Drosophila melanogaster: one gene and its partners. The protein of the gene in region 3 interacts with the protein of the main gene of each other region in a biochemical or structural test. Each region holds a gene or a part of one and is shown on either strand. Other genes may lie near its edges.

Evidence for each region.
Region 1: the proteins of Cenp-C (region 3) and Mis12 form a complex in vitro, tested with the Drosophila melanogaster proteins (2 studies listed by BioGRID).
Region 2: the proteins of Cenp-C (region 3) and Nnf1a form a complex in vitro, tested with the Drosophila melanogaster proteins (2 studies listed by BioGRID).

What each region holds. Positions count from the first base shown.
Region 1 is NT_037436.4:6,967,520-6,971,150, forward strand, and holds Mis12 (Mis12), read right to left. Parts: upstream 1,530-3,631; 5' UTR 1,416-1,529; coding exon 1,346-1,415; intron 1,283-1,345; coding exon 990-1,282; intron 878-989; coding exon 695-877; 3' UTR 516-694; downstream 1-515. Other genes in the region: CG10064 (uncharacterized protein), read right to left, coding at 1-288; CG9953 (uncharacterized protein), read left to right, coding at 2,313-3,100, 3,162-3,300, 3,363-3,631.
Region 2 is NT_033778.4:20,585,677-20,589,349, reverse strand, and holds Nnf1a (Nnf1a), read left to right. Parts: upstream 1-2,111; 5' UTR 2,112-2,176; coding exon 2,177-2,277; intron 2,278-2,333; coding exon 2,334-2,546; intron 2,547-2,620; coding exon 2,621-2,735; intron 2,736-2,940; coding exon 2,941-3,096; 3' UTR 3,097-3,128; downstream 3,129-3,673.
Region 3 is NT_033777.3:8,562,514-8,566,269, reverse strand, and holds the start of Cenp-C (centromeric protein-C), read right to left. Parts: upstream 2,166-3,756; 5' UTR 2,016-2,165; coding exon 2,014-2,015; intron 1,942-2,013; coding exon 1,434-1,941; intron 1,373-1,433; coding exon 38-1,372; intron 1-37. Other genes in the region: CG31460 (uncharacterized protein), read right to left, coding at 2,906-3,327, 3,384-3,387.

The DNA of each region.
Region 1 (3,631 bases), on a different chromosome or scaffold from region 3:
ATCGTAATTCCAGATGATCACATAGCCGCGGAAGCCCATGTGATTGATCTGACCGGAGGCCATGTATTTGCCACTCTTGCTGAGATCCAGGCACGATATGGTGTTCGTGTGTCCGGCCACAAACTCCTGCGTATTCTTCTTGTAGTCGGCGATGCCGATTTTGTTGCCCAGCGCAAAGATGATGGATCCCGTGACCGGATGCTGGCGCACTCCATTCTCCACCTTGCCATTGATGCCGAAGATTGCGCGCGGCAGCAGCTGCCTGCAGACATCGTGCGAGTCTCCCATTTTTCCAGGCTTATAGCAAAATATACGATTCGAAATGTAACATATAAGGGGGTTTTTGTGTCTGTTCTGTGCTTGAAACTTTTTAACCGGCTTGTTTTCTGTTTGAAAACAAGGCAGTTGGAAAATTTAAACAGCGACCGTTGCTTGGTTGCCGCTGTTGTCAAAGGAACTAATATAATGCTAAGGTAAATTGGTTTAAAACTAGTAAGTAATCATCTAGGTGTTTCGGATTCATAATAATTTTAATTTAATTTAATTTTAAGTTTAAAACTAAGTTAACGACATAATAATAGGTAAAGTGGAATATAGAAGAGTCTTAGTGATTATAAATGACTCCAGGGTTAAAACTAGTTTCGAAAGAAGATATTGGAAATGTAGATTAAAAAACTTGATCCAGTTAGTTTATTTAATCAGTCTCCTTCTTTATCTGCAGGGGCACTTGATTCCAGAATTGCTTCAGCTTGGTGATGTTGAGGGAGGAGCAGCTTCGCTGCACGCGATCCTGCATTTCGATCTCCTTCTGGATGAGATCCTCCATGGCGGCGTACTTCTCCTCCTCGATCTTCAAATGCGCCAGCATGGCCATGTTCTGAAATTGATGTGATTTAGCATTATTAAAACATAAAATAAAGCATCCTTTTCCCCATTATAATGATTAAAATGAGGCATACAAGATAGTTTCCATTGGTTCTACAAGTTACCTCTCTGTATTTGGCCTTCAGCTCCTCCAACCTGGCTGTCTTCTGCTCCTCCTCTTCGCTGGTATACTGATTCTCGACGAACATGTGCTCCGGATGCAGCACATGCGGTGGAACGTGGAACACTTTGCTGTCCAGTTCCCTGAGGGCTTTTAGGCCCTTGGAGGCGGATGCCTGGAAACGACGCTCAACGGTCTCCTTCTCGGCTTCCAGCAATTCCGCTGTGGCGGGTGTCTTGATCTTGTCGATGATCTGACCAATACCCTTCTTAATTATGTCCTGCACAATATGTTCGCCTATTTAAAAGGAATTAATGGATAAAGGACGCTGATCCAGAGATATAAGGATGTAGCACTCACGCTCTGCAGACAACTGTGCCGCTGTGAAATTGAAGAACTTCTGATCGTAGGCTAGGCTATTGAAGTCCATTATGACAGTTAACAACAATATTTTTTTTAAATTATATTACAATTAAACTGGATAAAAACGTAAACAATCCAAATTGTCGCGCAATTAGTGTTACCGTTTTCAGAATACAAAGAGATGCTACCACAGCAACAGTGCTGCCATACTTAGCTACAAAATCTAGTTACTAAATTTGGCTACTTATAACTGACTATACAGATGAAAAATATAAAAACAACGCATACACATGCACAATTTCCTAAAATTTTTGACAAATACATTTATTAAGCTTTCGCATTAACGGCACAGTGAAACTCCACAATAATATTTACCTAATATATGGAATAATTCAAATAAACTATATGTTGTTTATTAAAGCTACCTAAAGCATTTGAAATTCAGGAAACTTCCATTAAATTAGTTCAGTGAGAATTTAAAATTACACGCAGATGGAAATTATCAAAGCATGCAAGAATGTATACTTTTCTTAATTACTTGACAAAAATTTTGCAAAACACGTTCACATTTACGGTGCTATTAAGCTCATCGATAATATCTAGCTAGGAAATAATATAAATAAATAAAAAGCTAAATTAAGTTTTGTAAAGTTACCAGAACACTTACAGCATACAGAAATCTTTCTCTGCTTAAAATTAAATTAATTCAATTAATGATTGAAATCAATAACTATGAATGCCCCTACTGTTTTAGTTTTGCTTTGCCGGCTTTGCGAATATAGATAATACAGCGAGAACTGAATAATCAGGAGAGTGCGACACACATAACGGTGCCTATATAAATAGAACACACCACTCTCCTTCAGTCGCTATTTACAGTTAGGCACTGTGCGAGGTTCCAACTAATTAAATACTTCAATTACTGGCAAATTCTACTTGACCCGAACAAACAAAGGAAGCAAATATGCTTTTCATTGGGGGCGTTTTGAGGCCCTTGGGAGTGGGTCTTCTGCTCCTGGGACTGCTTGCGCCCATTTCCGGAATGGGATTTCGACGCGGAAGGCTGACCAAGGGATTCCTCGGGGAGCCCAGCAAGATTCCAACCCTGCAAAGGAGCCTGCACTCGGAGGATCTGTGGTTCGAGCAGCGATTGGATCACTTCAAGTCGAGCGATAAGCGCACCTGGCAGCAGCGATACTTTGTGAATGCCGACTTCTATCGGAATGACAGCTCCGCACCCGTATTCCTGATGATCGGTGGCGAGGGCGAGGCGTCGGCCAAGTGGATGCGCGAAGGAGCCTGGGTGCACTATGCCGAGCACTTTGGAGCGCTGTGTCTGCAGTTGGAGCATCGTTTCTATGGCAAGAGCCATCCCACCGCTGATCTGTCCACCGAAAATCTGCACTATCTCAGCTCGGAGCAGGCTCTGGAGGACTTGGCCAGCTTTGTAACCGCCATGAAGGTTAAGTTCAATCTGGGCGATGGCCAGAAATGGATCGCTTTCGGTGGCTCCTATCCGGGATCGCTGGCCGCCTGGGCACGCGAGAAGTATCCCGAGCTCATCTACGGTTCAATTAGCTCCAGTGGTCCTCTGCTGGCTGAGGTTGACTTCAAGGAGTATTTCGAGGTGGTCAAAGCCTCTCTAGCTGCCTACAAGCCCGAATGCGTGGACGCCGTGACCCGCAGCTTTGCGCAAGTGGAGATTCTACTCAAGCACATGATTGGACAACGCAGCCTGGACGAGAAGTTCAAGTGAGTGGATTAGGCTATCGTCCTGCACAAATTTTAATTTTGTAAACCATTTTATACTCAGAACATGCACTCCCATCAAGGACTCCATTGAAAACGACCTGGACATGGCCAATTTCTTTGAGAATCTGGCTGGCAACTTTGCTGGAGTGGTGCAATACAACAAGGACAACAGTCCCCATGCCACCATCACCATTGACGACGTGTGTTTCATCCTCACTTTGATCCCTATCAAGTCCATACTAAGAATGTTTGAACTCCATAGATCTGCGATGTCATGCTAAACACCACGGCTGGTCCACCTGTGACCCGTTTGGGCCTGGTCAACGATATGCTATTGAAGGAATCGAACACCACCTGCCTGGACTACAAGTACGACAAGATGGTGGCGGACATGAAGAACGTTTCCTGGGACTCGGAGACGGCCAAGGGAATGCGCCAGTGGACATATCAGACCTGCCACGAATTCGGCTTCTATCAGACCTCGGATAACCCGGCTGACACATTTGGTGATCGCTTCGGTGTCGACTTCTT
Region 2 (3,673 bases), on a different chromosome or scaffold from region 3:
AAGATACTTTTCCTTATGTGCAAAAAACTTATGAGAAGCAAAGTTTTTTAAACATGGTATTTAACTATAATTATTGCATATATTATTCTTATAATTTATTCTTTTTTTTACTGTGTGTTAAAACTAACAAACAATATGAACATGATTTTAATATGTTAACTTGTTAATTTGAAAGTGCCAGAAATCTGCGGGTAGAATAGTATAGGTGACTGACTCTTTAGTTCCATGGAGCAACAAATACCAAGAGAATAAACAAAACGAACTATTTAGGTGTGTCTCTGAAATATCTTACAAGTCAAATTTGGTGTCATAGAAATTTTGTAAAAAGAATTGAGCAAACAACTGAGATTTTCAACAAGTCATGCCTATTGATTTGTTAATATAATATATATTTAAATTTTTAAGCAATACTATTTACAATTTGTTTGCTGACCAATTTGGAACTCAACACATTTACGTGAGAATTCAGTTCAATGTCAACGAACGCGTGCAAATAGCCGCGAAATATCTTTGGAATTGCTTCACTCGAAATAAACGCTAGAAACAAACGAAAAATACCTCGGCCAAAAAAGGCAAATAAAAGCGAATTTTTTCGCAAAACTGGAAATCTAAACAGAGACAAAGGAGATTCGTCACAATCGCCAAAGAACGAAAAGCAAAAGTTGCAGAATTGCTGAGAAGATTTGCAGACGGAAGAAGAAGAGAGCTGTTGTTAAAAAGCTGCAAATGCCAATGGGTTAATGAGGGGGAGGGGGGCAAAGAGAAAAGAAGAGGAGCAATGAAGAGAGGGGGGAGGCAAGTAGGTGGTAATAAGCTGCACCCAACCAACAAGCGAAACAACAACAGTTAGCTTCCATTTGTATTTTTCTCTCTCATTAGCCTCTCTTCGCCATTTCCTCTGCCTCTCCGTTTTCTACGTACCTCATCGATTGATGCTAAAAACTATGAATAAAATATAGGTTAGGCCTTTTCCTTATTTGTAAAAAGCCAACGAGCGTTGAACTCGTCTTGTAGCGTGGGAGTTTTGCTTTCGGAACAACGAAACTATTTTGTTTTGATTTTATCTCAGCGAATTATAATGAAATTTATGCACCGGTGTAACCGCGTGGAGATAAAAGAAAAAGGGAAGCAACGAAACGAAAAGAAAAGAAAAAACAGCAAATGTGAAAAACAAAACAAGCGACTAAAGCGATGGGCCAATTATAAAAACAACAACTATGCGACTCTGTACTTTAAGTAAAAGCCGGCATGCGTGCGAGCAAGCGAGAGAGGCAGAGAGAACAGGGCGGCAGAGCGAGAGAGAGCTAGGAATATTTCTGTGTGCCCTGGTGGTTGTAATAAAATGAAAGGAAGAAAAACTGTAAAACTCAAGCGCCGAAGCCAAAAGAACGATTTTGGGGGTGTAGTTAAAAATCACACTATATTGCTATAAAAAATCGGCATGTATTGGCGAATCTTTTTCTTAGAAATGTATTCAGGAAAACACAAGACCACACAACACACACACACATTGCTTTTAGCCTGGTTTATTTGCCTCGCAAATTCGCTTTTCATTCGCGTTTCCCCAGGCAAAAGATAAAAAAAAACTGTAGAAGAAAAACTCACCTATCGGGATGCCTTTGTTTTCCTTCAGCTACGAAGACTTTGATGCCACCGAACTTAATCACTTAACTTTCAATTGGTATTCAACACGATTTTGTCCGCCACTAAACACTGGCTGGTAAAATATTATTCAAAATATGTATAGCACAAACACACTAGAGCTGAGTTAAAATGCACAAAAGTTAGAGAGGAATTGGAAAATGGCGTATCACCCTGTCATCGATACCTGGACTATCGATATATGATGGTTGAAAACGGTGGTTTAACACTTATTCTTAAAAATACTGTTCGGTGGTATTTATTCATTTTGTTTGACATTGTAATGTAAAAGGCACATATTCTCACCATACCGCTGAATGAAATATATTTATATTTTCAACATCACTTATGTTACAAGGGACTTATGAGTAATAAGAGCTAGTGGAAATACCTCAAAAAAAAACCAATAACAGGGTTGTCACCATACTCTATAATTTCTATCGGCCTGGTGTTTTGCAGAAACTTGCAACTGGTCACACCAATGTGGCATTGTTTTGTTTTGTTTACAATTTGAATTTACTAACAAATTATTTCAATGGAGGATTCGGAAGCCGCATTTAAACGCCACGAGGGTGTGGGACCAAAGGTGAAACAGGCCTACGAGGAAGCCATTAAACAAATCTTTGCCGACTTGAGGTAAGCAGCAGGCATAGTTAACATGATAACGAATATTAAAAATCGTTAATATCTAGCTGCGCAGATCTGCAAGCGTGGGATGCCATTTACCAGGAGCACGAGCAATCCGCTCTGGACACCGAAAGCATCGTAGATCGCACTCGCAGTCTGATGACCAAGGTTGTGCTCGAAATGAACCGATGCTTTTTCGCCAGCAACGATGTGCCAAATAAGTTGCAAACTTTGGAAATGCTCAAGGAACATTTCGCTGCCTACGAGGGCAAGAAATGGTACATGTGCAGCATAAAACATAATACGATTCGATTGCATTGCTAACTCTACTCTACTCTATTGTAATCTATAGGAACGTGAACACTGCAGCACCCGATAAACTCACTCGGCCGCTGCGCATGCGATTTTTGGACTTCAGCGTGGAATTCATGGAGCAGCAACTGGCCTCTCAGGCAAAAGAACTTGAGGTGCGATTTGGATATTAGTTAATCTTTGTACTATTACTGCACTGTTTTGAGTGTACCAAAAGATCCCTAAAGTTAAAGAACCTTCGAGAAGATTTTTAGTTTAATAATTTCATTTCTATAGTTTATCATTTGCATATACATATGTACATATCTAGGTTTGTTATTCTATCAGTATAACTAACATTTGTTTATATTTCAATTACAGATTGCTATGGCCAAGAGCAATGCCAATCGCGAGCGACTCCAACATGTCCATGACAAGCGCCTGAAATTGACTGTCCAAATGGAGCAGCAATTGTCGCAGTACGAGAAAGTTAAGACAGAACTTATTAAACTAGGCGAAGCATTGAACGACTTCTGACAAACTTAAATGCAATAAATAAATAAAATACTACGCTATGAGCTTAATGATTTGAGTGGGGGGTCTTAAAATGGAAATTCATACAAACTAATCTGCATATTCATTAATGTACATACATATGTATGTACACATGCATTTGTCATTGACATTCACAATTTATTTAAATTCGTATCATTGCAATAAGCTCATAATATTAACGAGCAATTGTTTGTATTGGCGACAAAAAATCTTTTAAAATTGAATGTATATACATACATTTCAAGTTATCTCTATAAAGAATACGATAAATAGTACGAAGTTTTTAGCTAAACATGTGTAAACTTATGTATGTATGCATGTGTTTTTTGAGTGATTTCTTAGAATCGCTGTGTGCTTACACACTCCCATACATACATACTTGATTGCGTAGTATAAATCAAAGGAATGGTATTAGTGTAAAAAAGAACCGAATTTTTGCTAGATCTTCCTCAAAAAGTAACTAATAATATACATTTAAAGATGTTTTTTAAAAGATTCGTTTTAATTTCCCTTGTGAGACTGCACTCATTATACAGATTTTCAGTTATATTTTAAGGCA
Region 3 (3,756 bases):
TTTTTCCTTCGCAACATATAAGCGATCTTGAACTTACCATTGGAAGATCACGACGAGTAGATCGTGGTCGCCCTCGTCCCTGCGATCGATCATTGCTTTTAGTTCGAAGACTTTGTGTTTTTGGCGGAACCGGTATATAGTCTTCATTCGAATCATCCGAGGACTGTTGTTTTGGCAAACCTTCGGCCTCATCCATTAGATTTCTACGTAGCAGCTCCCTCTGAATCTCTTCTTCTAGGATAAGCTTCTCTGAACGATGGTTTCTGTGCCCATTTAAAGGATATATCTCGTTCAACGAGTTGCGCTTGCGCAAATCCAAAATCTCGTAGTTGCTCATCCGGGTTAGCTCGCGGGCAAACTGCTCGCCATTAATGGGGGCACTTGGAGCCTTATTCAGCGGTATAGCAGTCTTTCGCGGCTTTGACTTTTTGGCATTGACCGACTTGTGAAGGTTAAGCAAGCGCATAGAGCTCTCCTGAGATTCGATTGTAGCTCGAGCCCGATTACTACTGCGCAAACGCCGTTGCCGGGTTGTGTTCCCACCTGAAGGAGCTAGATTTAATGGCACAGTGCTGGGATGTTCGTCGCTTTCGTCGTCGGTCATTATGGCATCCATATTTTCTTCCACCCGCGGCAGTTGTGCAATGGATTTCTGGGGAGAGGCAGCGGCGGATCGCCTAGGAGAAGGCGCAATCGGTGGTGAAGATAACGCCGTAACTGGCGAAGTCGGAACAGATTTCATTGCGACAGCGTCCCTTCTTACACTACGATTCGAATTGGATGTGTTTATCACCACAATTGGGCTGATCGCGCTGCGCGACAGAGTCTGCACCAACTCTCCCAGATCCTGCGGCTGGGTTTCCGGCACTACGAACTCCGGTTGGGGCTCTGATTGCCAGGCTGGGTCGTGACTTTGTCGCTCTGGCGTGTCCGGGACCATTAACTCCTGATTGAACCGCTTTGCCTTAACTACTGGCATTTTGCTCGGTGTGTCATAGCGATGTGATGGCGATAGCAGCAGCTGGCCTGGAGCTGGGCCCTTTTCCATTGTGTAGGTACGTCGTAGGCCCGCAACGGATGGTGATGACGGAGTAGGGGGTCGCGAGTACGGTGCCCGTCCAGAATAGTCCAGCTGCAGTACATTCTTGTGAAAGGAACTCTGTCGCTCTTTGCAGATTTGTTCAATTTCAGCTGCAAGAATAGGGTTCCTGGCAGGTGAGGTCACCTTTGTCTGCAGCGGATTTTCCGGCTCTGGTTCTTGTGATAGTTCCATAGGTTTTTCCGCTGGTTTATCAGTTTCCACTCTTGTTGTATTTTTGGCAACTTCCTCTTTTTGTTTCTCTGTGCAAGGTGTGCTGCTTATTTCTGGTAACTAAAAGAGCATTGTTGTTAGTACAAGGATTAGGTATTTGTGGGACATGTATTTAACATACGAAGTTTACAGGACTTGATATGCTGCGGGTCAAGTTTACGGTCTCCTCAAACTCTGGAAGCAATTGGCGTCCACAGCTCCTGGACCGCCGGCGGATGGCATGTCGACGTAGTTTATCAGATCCGGGTACATTTCCACTGCGGCGCATGGAACGTCGGTTATTGGGCGACAATGTTGGCGATCGACGCGGAGGCACGTTCTCATTGGGGGCCTGGTCCACAGGCGGCTCATTGACTTTCTCGGTGGCGGCACTGTTTTTGCTGACCAACTCCCCAAGGGGCTGTACTTCTGGTAGTTTGGACTTGGGCTTAGCCTGAGACTTCTTGATCAGTGGAACCTCGAAATCAAGGTCAAAGTCAAGTTTGAAGTTTCCAAAGAGATTGTCATTCTGTGCCGGCTTATTTTCGGCAAGCTTGCGCATCATAAAGGCGGCGAAGCGCTCCTTGTCCTTCACTGGCTGGCTTAGGATGTCGTCCAGCTCCAGAGTGTCGTTGTTCTGGGGCTTCGACCTGAAAAACAGACGGGTGAGCTCGGAGTTTGTATGTTCTCTTGCCTATGGCATGCTCGCGGTGGCAACTTACATATTTGCAATTGAAACTTGAAAAAAGGATTCTTCACGAAGTTACATACACGACAACAATAAACTTAACTTATTTCGCTAAAACTCCACAAAATTTTAAACTACAAAAAAGACGCGACGCTATTCATTTGGCGTTGCCAGTAACGTCTGTAGGCGCGCCTAGGTGGGGTGTTGCCAGAGCGCTCGAATAGACTATCAGAAAAGAGCTATAAATATCTAAAAGTTTCTTTGATAATAATAAGACATCACCCTGTATAATTACAAATGCATGATGCAATCGTTTTTAAACAGTTATTGTTAAATACAGCTGAGTTTATTTCAAAAGTTTTTATTGAAAATATACTCGAAAGCGTTGACCAGCAGGCAACCATTATATGCAGTATTTCATTACTAAAATATACTAAACGCGTAAAACGCAAGCTGGTCACACTTTGCCGGCAATTTTTGTTGACAAAACAAATCCAAAATGTTTAAAGCAAACTAAACCGACTTTTCAGATTGATCTATTTGTTCGAATTCACTTTATAACAACTGGAAGCAGCTTTGAAAAGCAACCAAAAAGTGGAGCTATACATTTTCTGCGAGAAGGCATGCAATAGAGACGCTGTGAAAACGACTTTGCGTTCGAGGTTTTGATTCTGTTGGAAAAGGATTACGATATCCATATAACCAGAGATTGGAGTTTTTTAACTGAATTCATGAATTCCCAATAAGATCCCCTATTCCACAGCACCAATACTCAGTAGTATAAGGCTGGCCAACTGTAATAATGGAGCTTGGATAGCTTCAAAGTGACCGATTGACATGACTTTATAAGTTAGTTATTTATTAAAGGTTATTAAAGATTAGGTATTCGAATGTGTTAGTAATGAAATAAGAAGCAGACGAATGGTTCATTTGAACTTCTTTCCGCCCTTTCTCGTCGTAGGAGCATCCACGCTGGGCACCTGAACGGAGTAATACTTCGTGGAGATCCTGTTAAGGAAGTAGAGCCCCACCAGGGAAAAGAGAACACTGGTGGTGGCGCAGACACGATGCACGAGTCCCGCGGCGGCCACCGTGAGTGAGAGACAGAAAATAATCTCTGGTAGCAGCTTGGCCTGGAAGTCCTGGCCGAAAACAACCATCTCCGCGTTGGAGACGCACGTGAGGCTCAGGATGAACACCCAGGAGAAGAGGTATCCGCCCAAAAGGACCCTCAGCTGCGAGTCGTTAAACCATTCTGAGCAGAAACGCAGTGTGCCGAACAAAACAATGCTCAGGAGGCCCGAGATGATGGAGGATACCACGGTGCTCTTACTGCTCACTGAAGCGGCTGCAAAGGTTCAGAGTTTAGTTTTTGTTGGCCGTAATTTCCTTGCATTTGCTTACACATATTACTTTTTCTTCCAGCCGGCGTCTTTCTTATACGTGTAGTGAATTATCGAACTATCGAAACTGATATTTGATAATACAAGGGATATTCCAGTATGTAACGACTAAACAAAGTTTTATTCGTTAGGCAGGCATTTTTCTCTATTTTTTTTACGTATTTACATGAAAAATTCTCGAATGACAAATTTGTGCTTGCAATAAAAATAAAAACAGATATCGTTATTTAAATACTGACATCGATAATTTTTTTTGAGAAGTAATATTTAAATCAATTGATGTGGCAACGCTGCGGCTTTCGTGGTGAATGACATTTGTAGTAACAACATTACACTTGAGCACAATTTTAATAAATTGTAAATAAAAAACGCCT